2 linked regions of the Sus scrofa genome follow. The protein of the gene in region 1 interacts with the protein of each later gene in a biochemical or structural test. Links are inferred from orthologs where the notes say so. Each region holds a gene or a part of one and is shown on either strand. Other genes may lie near its edges.

The links. The genes of interacting proteins can lie anywhere in the genome.
Region 2: the proteins of SNTA1 (region 1) and MAS1 interact in a test that uses a peptide from one of them, tested with the Homo sapiens proteins (2 studies listed by BioGRID and IntAct). The link is inferred for Sus scrofa from reciprocal best matches to the Homo sapiens genes SNTA1 and MAS1.

Annotation. Positions count from the first base shown.
Region 1 is NC_010459.5:36,914,119-36,920,825, forward strand, and holds the end of SNTA1 (alpha-1-syntrophin), read right to left. Parts: intron 4,965-6,707; coding exon 4,768-4,964; intron 4,064-4,767; coding exon 3,876-4,063; intron 3,792-3,875; coding exon 3,699-3,791; 3' UTR 3,158-3,698; downstream 1-3,157. UniProt on the Homo sapiens protein: Adapter protein that binds to and probably organizes the subcellular localization of a variety of membrane proteins. May link various receptors to the actin cytoskeleton and the extracellular matrix via the dystrophin glycoprotein complex.
Region 2 is NC_010443.5:7,537,064-7,545,329, reverse strand, and holds the start of MAS1 (proto-oncogene Mas), read left to right. Parts: upstream 1-3,219; 5' UTR 3,220-3,550; intron 3,551-4,341; exon of another isoform or gene 4,342-4,915; intron 4,916-8,266. UniProt on the Homo sapiens protein: Receptor for angiotensin 1-7. Acts specifically as a functional antagonist of AGTR1 (angiotensin-2 type 1 receptor), although it up-regulates AGTR1 receptor levels.

The sequences.
Region 1 (6,707 bases):
TTACCACTGACTGACCAATCAAACTGGCTGGGTTCACATCAAGGCTCTGACGCTTACCATGATAGCCATGGCCGAGTTAGTCAACCCTGCTGACTTCCAGTTTCTTTACATGTAAAATGGATGCTGCATGAAAAATACACTGCATTGAAGGTAGGAGTGTGGGGAGACAAATCAGCAGAACACTTGGGAGGTAGTGGCAGTTGACCAGAGATTGTGGAGTCCTGGACCAGTGTGGTTTCTTGGGGCAGTTGCTGTGGCCACTGAGATTGGGGTTGTTTTTATCCACAGCATTATTGCAGCAGGTGTTTAGCATGTTCCTTTGAATGGACATCAACTTCAGGTCTCCTCCTGAGAGAAACCTCCCTTCACCCCCAGAGCAGGTCAGGTCCCCACTGGCCTCTCCAGTACCTCTATGCATCTATCCAATCAGAGCCACCCATTTGACTGTGAGAGCTTCTGTGCACGGGGACCTGACAGTCCTGCTCCTAGCAAATCAACGCCTGACCCCAAGGATTAGCACAGAGTAGGCATGCACTAGACTATCTTGAATGAACAGTGAATCGACAGATGAATGAGCAGACTGAGGTGGGCAAAGCTGGAATATCTCTGCTTACCTGCATTTTCCCCAGGTTTCTAGAATGAGCTCTGGCTCTGGTTTGTTACATGGCTTCAGGTGGGTCTCATTTTCCTCTTGTGAGCCTCAGAACTGCTTAATCTAAGAACGTAGCCACTAATCACATGTGGTTATTGAGCACATGATATGCAGGGTGTATGAATGAGGAACTGAAGTCAATTCCATTTGCAATCATTTTAATTTAAAAACTGATACTCAAATCAGTTATTGGAAAACTTTAGTACGTTTAGAAAAACTTAGGTGAATCCACTTTTTCAACTGTAAATTTCCTTTTTAAATTATAGTTAATTTACAATGTTCTGTCAATTTCTGCTATACAGCAAAATGACCCAGTCATATATATATATATGTATGTATGTATGTATATGTGTGTATGTGTATGTATGTATGTATATATATATATAGTTTTTCTCATATTTTCTCATATTATCATGTTCTATCACAAGTGATTGGATATAGTTCCCTGTGCTACACAGCAGGACTTCGTTGCTTATACATTCTAAATGTAATAGTTTGCATCTACTAACCCCAAACTTTCTTTTTTTTTGTTTTTTTTTGGGGGGCACGCCTGCGGCATATGGAGGTTCCCAGGCTAAGGGTCGAATCAGAGCTGTAGCCACTGGCCTATGCCACAGCCACAGCAATGCAGGATCCAAGCCACGTCTTCGACCCATACCACAGCTCGTGACAACACCAGATCCTTAACCCACTGAGTGAGGCCAGGGATTGAAACTGCATCCTCATGGATGCTAGTCAGATTCATTTCCACTGAGCCACAATGGGAACTCCCCAAACTTTCATTTTCAACTGTAAATTTTACTAAATCTAAATTCCAATCAAAGATTTCCAATGAAAATCCATAATCTGAATAGAGACGTGCTATAAATATAAAATATACACCAGATTTTGAAGACTTAATATGAGAAAAAGTATAAAACATTTCATTAATAGATGTTTATATTATGTGTTAAAGTGATAATGTTTTAGATCTATTAGGTTAAATAAAGTATATTATTTAAATTATTTTCATCTTTTTTTTTTTTACTTTCAAAAATGTGGCTACTAGAAAATTGGTAATTACACATGTGGCTTGCACTATATTTCTAGTGGATAGTACAGGAGCAGAAGGTCTCTAAGATGAAAAGGAGCTCTGAAGTCAGAAAAAAACCCGTTGCTTTTTTTTTTTTTTTTTTTTTTTGCCATGCCCATGGCACATGGAAGTTCCCAGACCAGAGATCGAACCAAGCCACTGCAGTGACAACACCTTAACCCACTGGGCCACAAGAGAACTCCTAGACAGACTAGTCTGAAGTCAACCTCAGACATTTCATAGCTGTGTGACTTTGGGCAAGTCATTCTCCCCCTCTGAGCCCCAATTTCCTTACCTGTGAAATGGAGATTGCTGTGCCTACCATGCAAGTGTGTGGTGAGGATCCAATGAGGAAATATATACACAGTGCCTAGCCAATAGCAGGCACTCTCTAAATGTGAACTGTCGTTACTGTTGTCACTGTGATTTTCCAGACAATGCAAGCAAGTAGGACTTACATGCAGCCAGACTGGTATAGCTTCCCTCAAAAAAACGTTCCACAAAACACACACTAAACATCCCTCCTTCCTCAGGAAAGGGGTCAGAGACTCTCTAGGATGGTTTTTATTTAATTTTTCTTTTTCAGCCACATCCACAGCATGTGGAAGTTCCAAGGCCAGAAATCGAATCCAAGCCAAGCTGCAACCTATGCCACAGCTTCAACAATGCCAGCTCCTTAACCCATTGTGCCAGGCTGGAGACCCAACTGGCGCCTCCACAGAGACAAGCAGGATCATTAATCCCCTGTGCCCACAGCGGGAACTCCTTTATGATGGTTTTTAAATAGGTTCATAAATTCTTTGACATTCTTTTCTTCAAGAGGTGGAGACCAATTCCCCTCCCCTGGAGCATGAGCTGGGATTAGTGACTCACTTCTCATGAACAGAATAAAGTAAAAGTGACAGCATGTGACATCAAAGACTAGGTGATAAAAGGCGCTGTGCATTCCTCTTGGTTCTCTCTTCTGTGTCATTCGCTCTGGGGGAAGCCAGATGCCTTGTTATAAGCACACTGGAGCAGCCCTATGGTCAGGCCCATGGGGTGAGGAACTAGTGCTTCCTGCCAACAGCCAAGGGTCAGGAATATTAGAAAGAGATCCCCTAGCCCCAGGCAAGCCTTTAGATGAGGACAGCCCCAGCTGACACCTTAACCATAGCCTCATGAAAGACCCTGAGACAAGATCAACCCACCTTAGCCCCTTCTCAAATTCCTAATCCACAGAACTTGCAAGATAATACATGTTCATTGTTTTAAACTGCTAAATTTAGGGGTAATTTGTCAGGCCATTGTAGATAATCAATAGATTCTTTGGCCCTGTGGTTAAAGGTCTGCTCTACTTAGGGAAAGAGGCTCCAATCCTGGGTCTGGTCCATCTTGGGACTACAGGGGCCACCACATGATCCACAGGCCAAGACACAAACCACAGACACTGGGCCAGGCTCCCTGTGTGCTCACAGGCTGTTTATTTACCCAAGAGTAAGGGGGAAAGAGAAGATGAAGAGAAAAACCAGACGCCCCACGGTGGTGGGGCTGAGGGGAGAGATGAACGGAAAGGTTCCTCTTCCTCTTGCCATAGACCCGGGGGAACTCCAGCTTTGGTGGGGGGGTCTCGGGGGACAGTTTAGGGGCCCCAAGAAGGCCAGGCAGTTGTTGGCTGGGGTCAGGATCCCCACAGGGGCAGGTCCCAGGCTCGGAATGGCTTCTGTGTACAAAAAAATACCTCTCCACAAAAGGCACTGGTGGGGGGTGGGGGGGGTAGCAGAGAGGCTACCCCACCATGGGCAGGATCCACTGTGTCCTGAGTCTGGGTCCCAGTCCCCAAGACTATCCCCAGCCTCCCTTGGGGGCTGGGTCTCTGCATCCTTGCTCCTTTCCTCTCCCTTCCCTCGGCCCAGTGGTAAGCAGGCAATCCGAGGGCCATGTCAGGCCCCGTGGTGAACACCCCATCTTCAGGGCTAATGCGTCTGACAACCTCTAGGCCAGGAGCCCCAGGCGGGTGACTTTGGCTGAGAGGAAGGAGTGGATGATGAAGACCATCGTTTTGGGGCACGAATGCAGGTCCAGCTGCTGCAGGGTGGATGGAGAGAAGGGTCAGGAGCCCCAGCCAGCCCAGCCTCCAGGAGAACAGAGCCCCCATCCCCCTCCACTCACAATTTCTCCTTCAGGGCCCCCGAAGTCCAGGAAAAGGAGACTGGCACCATCGTCAGAAGACATCTGCAGCTTCTCAAAGGGCTGTCGGAGCAGTACAGCTCGGGCCGCACCTGGCTCAGCCGCCCACAGTGTGAAGCCTTTGTCAATATGCACCGAGAGGCTGCAGGGCCGGCCGTTCCACGTGCAGGCTGCGGGGAGGGCGAGGACACAGGGAGGGCATGTGGGCATGCGCAGAACGGCATCTCAGAGACCACAAAAGTGGGGCTTGCATGCCGCCGGCAGGTGGGAGGCTCACTGTCTGTCGTGCCATTTGTACACCCACCCTGTAGAGCATCACTCTCACTCTAAAATACAGAAGGATGTGCGGGCAGAAAATCTGTAGCCCATGTTCAGTCCCACTTCCAACAGGACCAAAGGTGGAAGAGGGAGCGTCAACTCTGCCAGGGACAGGAGGACCGCTCCCGATAAAGGCATCGGCAGATGCACCAAGCATGGCCTTCAGAGACCTTAGACGCCTGTAGACTCGCCCAGTTAAATGTGAATCTGACACAAGCAATGGAGAATGTGGACATATTTATACTAAACAATTATTTGTTATTTACCTGAAATTCAAATCTAAGGGGGTGTCCTGTATTTTTTCTGGCAAGCCTACTCCAACTGCCATCTCTCATATCCTCACCATCGGAGTCACAAAGCCAGGACAAGAAAACCCCCATGAGAAAAGAGGCTCACTACCTAGCAGGGCACCTGTACATCCAAAACAGAGGGCCCTCAGAGACCCCAAATCCCACTCTCTATCCCCCTCCTGAAGCACCCTAAAGAAGGCAGCTGAATGCCCCTGGGGATAAGAGGCTCACTGCCAAAAAGGCACTCCCAGATCCACCCAGCCCACCTGTAGACACCTCCTGCACACCCTCAGCGGCCCGGTGACAGCCATCCACCAGCTGGCGGGTCCAGGCAGCCAGCTCCTGCGGTGACTCCACGCTGAACAGGTGAGTGTCCACACCGTGGCGCGTGCCCGTGCGCAGGGCAAAAGAGAGCTCTGCATCGTAGGGCACCGAGCCCTTGGCGGGGCCTGAGTGCACCAGCCTGGGGGCAGGGGGCAGAGGGCCAGGCATGAGGCCTCGGGCAGTGGGGAAGCAGTTCTGAGCCAAGGGGGTGGTGACCTGGGAAGAGACCCTGCGACTCCTTCCCCACCTAATGGGGGACCAGGACTTTCAGACGGCCACTGATTGCGTCACATGAGATATCTCCTGCCACCCTCTCCCTCACTCCCTGGGCTCCAGCTGTACTGGTGTCTTCAAGCACACTTCCACCCCAGTGCCTTTGCACACGCTGTGACCTCTGCCTGGCACACGATTCCCTGATTACCTGCATTGCTTACTCCCTCACTTCCTTCGGTCCTTTGCTCAAATGCCATCTCCTCTGAGAAGCCTTCCCTGACCCCTCTGATTCAAACAGCACCCCTTCCTGTCATTCACTAACCTTATCTTTCTTGATAGTATCAGAAATTATAATTATTTTTATTGTTTCAGCTGACTTTTATTTTCAGGGCCACACCCATGGCATATGTTAGTTCCCAGGCCAGGGGTCAAATCGAAGCTGCAGGCTCTGGCCTATGCCACAGCCACAGCAATGCCAGATCCAAGCCACATCTGAGACCTGTGCCACAGCTTGCAACAATGCTGTGAGGCCAGGGATCCAACCTGCATCCTCACAGACACTATATCGGGTTCTTACCCCACTGAGCCACAACAGGAACTCCTGTTTCAGGTGACTTTTGATAGTCTTTTTCTCTAGAATACTATCTAGGGTACAGAATGTTGTCTAATTTTTACCACTATATTCCCAGCAACTAAAACAACACCAGGCATATACTAGGTGCTCAGTAAACATGTGTGGCCTGAATTAACGAGTCACTTGATTAGGTAGACAGACCATCCATGACTGCTTATCCCTAGTGGGGATAGGCGGCGGGTTCCTGACACATGCACCAGAGCCCAGCCCGGGGTGAGAAGACATGAACAACAAGGGCCCGGACTCTGCTGGCTGACTCCTACTTGCTGTGCAACTTGGGCAGCTCACTGCCCCTCTCTGGGCAGCAGACCTCAGAGTTCTGGCCCTTAACCCTCTTTGCCCCTCACTTCACATACTTTCTCTCATAGCTTCAGTTCCCCTTTAGAGCCACTTCTGATACTCAGTCCCCCACTTTCCAGCCCTAAGCTATAGACCCACAAGTCCCCAAGTTTCCTAACCAAGCTCCCTACCTGTCCCCCACACACTTTGGACTAACTCAGCTTCTTGTGCCAACCCCCTCCCTTTGTACACCACCCACAGCCCCACAGCCCACTCAGCACAAGCTCCCAACCTCACGTTTCTCCATTTATCCGGACACCTCCCGCACCCTTCCCATCTGGCAAGTCCTAAGCCCAGTTAATTTTACCAGCCCTGTGTTTTCCAATGCAAATGCGGCCTTTCTTCTCCATCTGTTGCCTCCACCCACCTCCACCCTCTCTCCAGTGTAAGTGCAGCAGCCTCCCGCTTCCATCCCCTCCTCCAGGGCATCTTCCACGTGGCAGCCACAGGGATTCTTTTAAAACACAACCTGAGCCACCTCACTCCGAGGCTAAAACTCCTCAAGTCTGCCCCAGCTTTTAAGATAAGGCTAACATTCCTTAACCAGGCAACAGAAGCTCTGCAAGATCAGGCCCCGCCACCCTTCTTTCCATTTCCTACACAGATTTCACACACTGGTTATAGGACATGTGTAGCTCCAGGAGCATGCACTGGCCCTTTGTGCCTCTGCACCTTGGACTATGCTGTCCCCTCTAT
Region 2 (8,266 bases), on another chromosome or scaffold:
AACCCCCAGTGACACGCTTTGGGGTGTTCGATTGACATAAACAAACTGGCTGCTGCTCAGAAGAGTCTCAGCTAAGCCTGACGCAGAAATCTCTCCAACGGGAGACCCTGGAGGCAGGCACAGGGAGGGGCGCCCGTTCCTACAGGAACGCAGTTTGGAGCTTTTTATGTCTCTCTCTTTTTTATAGAGCCTCTAAATGCTAGCTGATGAGTATCTCCAAAGGGTAATTTAGAAATTACAGTTTTACGAAGGGCCAAAACAATGCCGGCCAAGTATGCAGGGCTGAACCCGGGGAATATTTAGAACATCCAGAGGAATGGATAGACTCCATGTCCCAAGGCAAGGCTCCAAAAATACCCTTTCTCACAAGTGGCTTTTTTTTTTTTTTTGTGATGTTTAGACAAGGGAAAAATCACATGGTGACCATCTAGGTAAGGAATCTAGAAGGCGAAGTTGCCGATTAGATGCCAATGCAGGGCACGAGACGGTCCTTGTCTTACCATATAGGAACCTGCCCAACACTGGGTCTACACAGTGACCCCCACACCATGCATGTCCCCCTTGCTCCTTGGCGCCACAGCGGTCTCGATGGAGGATGTCTCACTCCATGTCTCACCTTCACATTCTCCTGCAAAGGTGCCCGTGCTGGGCTGGAAGAGTCTTCCTGGGAAGGTCCCGGGGAGCTCAGGGCTGGGGACCTAGCCTCCCGCAGCTGGGTCTCATCATCGGGGTCTCCCCGGGGGGCCACTTCCGCAGCCTCTTTGTGGGTTTGCCTCCCCTGGTGGCACCCCCTGCTCTGGGCTCCTCTCCCACCAGGCTGGCCCGGCTAGTTGGAGGAAAGCCAAGGGCAGCAGGGAGACAGTGCGTTTCTCAGTAAGACTGGATGTTTAAGAAATATGCCCTGAAAGCAAAGCTCCTCACTCGGGAGACACTCAACCGGGGCCAGGGTAGGCTAGGAGAAGCCGGGCGAAGAGTCCCTGAGGCTGATGGGATTCAGATCCGAGTGCCGTTCTCAGGGTTTTATCTTGTACTTTTATCTGGCCAGTGGGATCTGAAGTCCCTTTTGCAGGACTGGAGGGCAGAGGGCGGGGCCAGCCCTGCTCTGAGACACTGTCAATCAAACGGATGGGAGAAAGCATCACTCATCACTCTAGCCCAGCTCACAAGTCCAAATTTCTAGCATACCTGAGCTTGTTCTGCTGCCAAATGGTGGCCCGAGACAACTCGTGCTGAACTGGTTGCCCACCACCTTGAGGGGCTGCAGGCTTCATCCCTGACTCAGGGGATGCCCCACCCATCGCCCTTCTCTCAGTCCGAGCAGCCCACCCCCTCACTGCGCCCACTCTCACATCTTTCTTGCGTTAAGGGGAATGCTGGGCTTTTGTCTCCCCATAACCAGGGGCTTAACATCTAAGGTCAAGTAGAGATCCTTCCCTCCAGGGACAAGGACATTCTAGGATGTGACTGGAAGTCACTGGGCATCCCCAGGGTCAGCACTGAGCATTGAGAGGCTTTGTTTACTTATTTGTTTTCTTTTTAGGGCCACACCCATAGCATATAGAAGCTCCCAGGCTAGGGGTTTGAATGGGAGCTGCAGCTACTGGCTTACACCCCAGCCACAGCAATACTGGATCTGAACCACGTCTACAGCCTATACCACAGCTCACGGCAATGCCAGATCCTTAACCCACTGAGCGAGGCCAGGGATCGAACCTGCATCCTCATGGATACTGGTCAAATTGGTTTCGGCTGCTCCACAACGGGAATTCCACATCACAGGAGGTGAACTCTAGTTCCCTGTGCTCTACAGTAGGACCTTGTAATTTGTCCATCCTGTATGTATTAGTTTGCCTCTGCTAGTCTCAAACTCCCAGTCCTTCCCTCCTCCCCTCCCCCTTGGCAGCCAGAAGTCTGTTCTCTGTGAGCCTGTTTCTGGTTTGTTGATAAGTTCATTTGTGTCATATTTTAGATTCCAATGTAAGTGATATCATATGGTATTTGTCTTTCTCTGACTGAGTTCACTTAGCATGAGAATCTCTAGGTCCATCCATATAGATGCAAATGGCATTCTTTCGTTCTTTTTAACGGCTGAGTAGTATTCCATTATGTATTTGTACTACGTCTTCTTTATCCAGTTCTCTACTGATGGACATTTAGGGTGTTTCCATGTCTTGGCTATTGTGACTAGTGCTGCAATGAACATAGAGGTGCATGTATCTTTTTGAATTAGAGTTTTGTCCACATATATGCCTAGGAGTGGGATTGCTGGATCATATGGCAACTCTTAAGGGTAAACTCTTGATGGGAGAAAGGAATTGTACCCTGTGTGGGTCTACTTGTGGGTTCCACCACCCAACGGGTCCACCGCTCATGGCTTCCCCCACTTATGGTCCCCTCCTTGGCCTCCTTGGCTGCTGAGCTTCCTCCTTCCTCAATTCTGCAAAGCTCTCCCGCAGCCCATCTCCACCAAGTTCCCCTGTTGTTTGATGGGAGAAAGAAGGTTGCTGCTTCCCTCGGGAACTCGTGGAGGTGAGAGCTAGAACGTCCCTCCACCCTGGACATTTGGGAACGTCGTCCCTTCATTCTTCCAGGCTCGGCTGGCTCTGGTTCCCCATCTTTCTACACCTCCCTCCCCTACACCCCCCCGACCTCGCGAGAGGAGGATGATTACTCACAAAGACCAGCCAGGCACGGAAATAGCCAACCTATTTGTGGCTTAAATGCAAGCAGTTTTATTTTTACAGAGAGTTGCTGTATTTTCTCTAAGTATAAATCATTAGCTACCGCAAGTGAAACTCCGGCTCCATCTGCGAGAGTTCCTGCTTTTGTTAGTGGTGCCAATTAGTCACAAAACAATCAGTGCCTTCTGCTGCCCACTCCCTCCGGGGGAAGAGAGTGCCATCTCTGCCAGGCTCCCCACCCCGCCCCACCCCAGCGGCCACCCCCACCCCGTAACTGCTTCCCCTACCTGGACCCCATCTGGCCACTCCAGGTACCCCTTCCTGCTGCCTGCTCCTCGTGCACCTTGTGATGGTTGCCAGTTTCCAGAGGGGTGCCTTGTGGCCCTCTGCAGGATGCACAGGCGCCCCTGTGCTGTTAGGAGCCGGGAGAGGCAACTCCGAGAGGCCCCGTGTTCTGTTGACTTAAATCATGACGTCGGAGCCTTCCTTTCTGTTGGCCCCACTGCTCAGGGTTTCACAGCCCCCGCGGGGACCGGGGGAAGTGCTCACAGGATCTGGGCCGTCCCTGGGCTCCTGGGAAGCAGCCGACGTGGAGCCCGGGAGCAGAGTGCCCCGCTGTCCTTCCGTGCTCTTTCCCTTCTGGTCCCTTCCTTCTCACCCGTGACCTTGGCGCCTCCTGGGCCAGCCTGTCTTTCTCCCCTCATTGCGCTTGCTTCCCAGTGTCTGATCCTCCGAGGGCGCCTTCCCCTCTTCCTGGCCATTCGCCTTAGACGGTGGTCCCGCTTTTCCCGGCCGCTTCTGATTTTCCTCTGGGAAATGTCCAGTTCTTCAGGAGGCTGACCCTTCCTCCCTTGGAACATCCAGAACAGGTAATGAGAACACACACACTGGCCTCCCAGGACTGAGCTCCCCCAACGTTTTGACTCGATGCACCTGCCTAACCATAGATGCCGCAAGCTCCCCTGGGTTTCCCTGTGGCTTGAAGGTCTATAGGGGCCGAGCCCTGGCCACCCTCTCCTCTTCCCACAGGAGGACACAGCCACAGGTCAGGTTTCACACAAGAGCCGCCTGGGTCACTGTCCGTCTTGTGCGTATGAAAGCGGTCCGAGGAAGGCTGCGTGTGTGGGTCGCGGAGCCTGCTTTCCCTCAGCATCTGAAGCTGCCTTCTTGCCCTCTTCTGAGTTAATCAACCCCAGGAGTCCACTGTTACTTTGACCCCATAACCGTGAAGGAAGGCTTCTGAAATAGAAGCAATAAATGCTGCTGTGAATGGGGGTCGGCGGGGAGGGTCTCACCGCAGGGCTTGGCTACAGAGACCATCCAGAACCTCTGGCTTGGCCTTGGCACCTTCACACCGGGTCTGCTGAAAAAGCGAATGGGGTCAGGGTGGGGGGAAGCAGCTTGACTGCATGGGTGAGAATGCACATCTAGCAGGGACAGTCTTTGAACCAGGCTGAAGATCACGCTGGGCCCCGAGGCTCCTCCACGCCTCGACCCCAGCCCCTGGGCTCCCTCTCCCTCCACTGCCTCACTCATACACACCCACGTGGGTGTGAGACGCCCTGAAAATGCACTGCAGGAAGGGAACGGGTATTTAATTGTTTAACAACCTGGCCCTCGCTGTGCAGGTGCAGACACATATCTCATTCAACCACCGTGAGTTTCCGTGGCCACGATTAGCTCCATTTTACAGGTGACAAAACTGAGTCTTCCAGAGCTTGGCGGAAATCACTGGGCTAGCTCCAGGCTGAGTCAGGAATGGGAGCTGGGTCCCTCTCGTGCTGCTACACACACACTTTTGCCCTTCCACGCGGCCCCACTCTGGGCCGTCTTTCTCCTCAGCCCTGACTGGCCCTCGTGGTTCGAGGGGGTCAGGCACCTCGTGTGATCATTAGTTCCCACTCGGGATCGGCATGAAGATTTTCACTGGCGTGTGTCACCGAATGATGCCATTTGAAGCACAGCTTCTGCTGATAAGCGTGGGACCATCTGCTTGGCACATCTCAAATATTTTCAGCAGTGGGAGAGCAGCTCCGATTTCTCCCGAGAAGGGAGGCTGCAGTCATCCTCGGAGGAGATGCTGGGACCGGAGACCCTGCAGGCTGGCGGGGCAGTGGTGCCCTAGGATGCGTAGGGCCAGCCTCCCGCCCACCACCCCTGCCTCTCCCTGAGCGAATGGACCTCGTGAGCCTGCACCCCGGTTTTGCCTTGTTCAGCGGCCCTTGACAACCAGAGTAAGCGTCCCCTCTTCAAAAAGCTATTGCCAGGCACCTCTTTCTGTGCTGGTTGTTTGCCTCTTGTGTTAGATGTTCGGTGTGTGTCGGCAAAGACCACTATTTTCCTGCCTTCGTTTTGGAAAATCTGCCTCTTTGCTACACTAGCGGTCCCTCGGACGGCGTTTTACAACTTCGGGGTTGAAACTTTCTGTGTTAACTTTTTCTTTTGGATGCGTAATGAGGGGGCAAGGACCTTAGACGCAATCTATGGATGCGGTGGTAGGTTTGAAGGTACTTGAGGTTGTTTGATGGGTTGTTGTACCTGCCAGAGCCATTGGGGTTGGAAGGGCACCGTATGGGATTCCTCCAGGGAAATGCTTGATGGTGGGAGGCGAGCTGGACTGATTTTCCCCTGCCTCTCCTCAGCGGGCACCGGCTTTTGTGTTGGCTTTTGCTGCTTATAACGGCAGGTGTGTAGCCTGTGCGGTGGCACAGTTCTGCTGAAAGGGCTCCCCTGCTCTTTGATGTGAGTGTCTTGGCCATGTTTCCCAGGCGGGCTGGGAGGGGGAAGCTGGGGAGAGAACGTGCAGGAGCTGGTCTGATGGCTCCGTAGGCAGCACTGAAAGGCTGGTGGCAAGTCTGCTCCAGGTGCCGCAGCCTTGGCACCATGACATCTGGGGCCAGAAATTCTTGGTTGTAGGCAGCTCTTATGTGCAGTGTAGGGTGTTTACAGAATCCCTGGCCCCAGCCCACGAGACGCCGGTAGCCTCCTCCTCTCAGTGTGACAATCGAAATGTCAACTATCCCCTAGGAGACAGAGTCACCCCCCGCCCCCACGTCCTTATGAGAAGAGGGCTCTAAGTTGACCCTGCTGTGCACTTGGAAAGGGAGCAAGAAGTTTCTGCTTCTCCATGCAGGTGGCTTCCGTGTTGGAGGCTGGGAACTGGTGTTTAACCACAGGCCAGATGTTCCTCCTGGCACATTCCTCCCGGATCCCGTACCTGCCATGGAAAGTCCATCTCCCAAATGGGTTTCTGTTTGTCCAGGTTTCTGCACACACACAGAGGGAATGGTTTGCCCTTGTCTCTGGAGCTGCACACCTGGAAGGTCCAGCCTGGAGTCAGGCTTCTCCTTTTGGTTGCCTAGAAACAAGACAAGGTTTCAGATGGCCCACCTCGGACCTTGATTTTGTTGGCTTCTCTCTCTTTTCCTGTCATTTCCTTTCTTCCTCCCTCCTTCCCTCCCTCTGGCCCTCGCCCACCCCTCCCTCCCTTCTGCCCTCCTTTCCTTCCTTCTTTTCTTTTAAGAATGATGTCATAGACTGGAATCCAGGACCCCGGGAGGACAGTAAGCATCTGAATGGGAAGGTGAAAAGGGATGCTTGCCTCTGAGATCTTTAGAGAAAATTGCAGCAAGCATGTTAAGTAGAGCATTTAAACTCTGCCTTATGCGTCCTTCCAGCGGAGCCCCCACTCCCGATCGCTACCCTCTTTGCTCCTTCCTGCTTTCCCAGCAGCGTCCCTGTCCAGCTGTTCTGCCCAACTTACATGGAGCCGTAAATGTAGGTAGCAATTTCAAGAAGACGGGCCAACCCACATCCTGCAACATCTGTGGAAACCACCATGTCTGTTTTCCTTGCTTGTCCATTTCTGGTCCCAGTGTGGCATTTCCATGAGACTCGCATGGGCAAGGTGTTTTTTAGTCTCTAGCTTTCCTTACGCCCCAGGCTTCCAGAAACACAGTAAATGATGTGCCAACTGTGTGAAGGGCCTGCGGTTCAGAGGGGCTGAGCTGCATGGCTTAGGACTCACATCCAGTGGTCTGTTGAGGGAGAGTGTGGCTCCGAGACAGAGCGAACTAGGCGCAGGCAGAAGAGACCATGGCCCCAGCAATGTCACTTGAACAACGACAAACCTCTTATTCAGACGTCTCTTTTGTACTCAGATGCCTTACTGCTTACAATTCTTTCGCCGTTTGCGGGAGGGGGTGAGTGTGAAGCATGGCTTGCGTGAGGTGGTGGAGCCTGAGCTGGTGGAGGACGCCTCCCTGGGGTGAGGGAGGTGGTGGTGACCTGGCCGGGCAAGGGCGGCATCTGCCTGGCAGGGGAGGGGACCTGGGGTCAAGTTCAGAGCTTCTGCTGGGTGAGGAGTACGTCCCAGGGCAGGACATAGTGGCAGTGGTGGCCTGACTTGAGGTGCAAGAGCCCAGCGAGGGGGGGAGGGCATCTGCGCAGGGCTGGGGGAGCGGCAGGTGGACGCAGGAGAGGAGGGATCGAATACGTGAACCCACTGAGGAGGACGGAGCCAGGAGCCAGGATCCAGGTTTCTCACCATCAGAGACAGGAATGACAAACACGGAGAGGAAGAAAACTCAGCGGAACTGTGTTGGATCAGATATTGGGGTGAAATCATTGGCATTCAATGCGTGTGTGCGTTTGTGTGGGGAAAGACGTAGAAATATAGATGCCAGGGTGTGTATGTACGACTGCACATGTGTCTTCACATGCACGTGCCCCTTAGCTCTGTGCCCTGGGAGGGCCTGAGAGCAGTGACACCGTAAGAGCAGTGGGTCCACCCAGCGTCCAGATCTTGGCTTCTACGTTCCCTTCTCTACTGAAAGGAGCCAGGGCTTCTTGGAGAAATGGGTGACTCTAGGCGCTGGTGAAGGGAACCTACAAGATGAGCAGAGCCTGGTCAAACATTCAGTTTTTTTTGGCCTGGAAGACGAAAAATACCAGAGGGAGCATGGAACAGCGGGAAAGGTCTGATTTCTGTTTTGGATCTGCTGAAGTTGGAGAGCGGCCACAGGAGGCCCAGTCCGAGACATCCAGGGCTCTGAGTTAGAGGGTCTGATGTCCCGGAGAGCTGAGTTAGAACAGGAATTTGGATTTCATTGGTCTGCGGAAAGAGTTGAAAGGAGGGGATTGGGTGAAGGCCACCCAGGGAAGTTTGCAGAGGAAGGAGGAAAGAGGGTTGGGAATGGAGCCTCGTGGCCCAAAAGGCAGCGTAAGGAGAGATGCAGGAAAGGAGAATGAGAAGAAACCACCAGAAGGCAGGCACGTCGGAAGGAAGGAAGCTTGTCTAGGCAATGCTGTCATCTCCAAGACCACGGTGAGGCGTGAAGTAGAAATCCCGTGACACGTTTTGTGTTGTGTGGGTGGGGCCCTGAGAACGAGATCACGTCTGACCCCTTTTGCGGGACTTGTCAACGTGAAGCTACAGGGCGGACCCTCTCACTTTTACTGTTTTTTATTTATTTTATTTTTGATTTTTTGTCTTTTTGCTTTTTTTTCTAGGGCCACTTCCCTCGGCATATGGAGGTTCCCAGGCTAGGGGTCGAATCGGAGCTGTAGCCACTGGTCTACGCCAG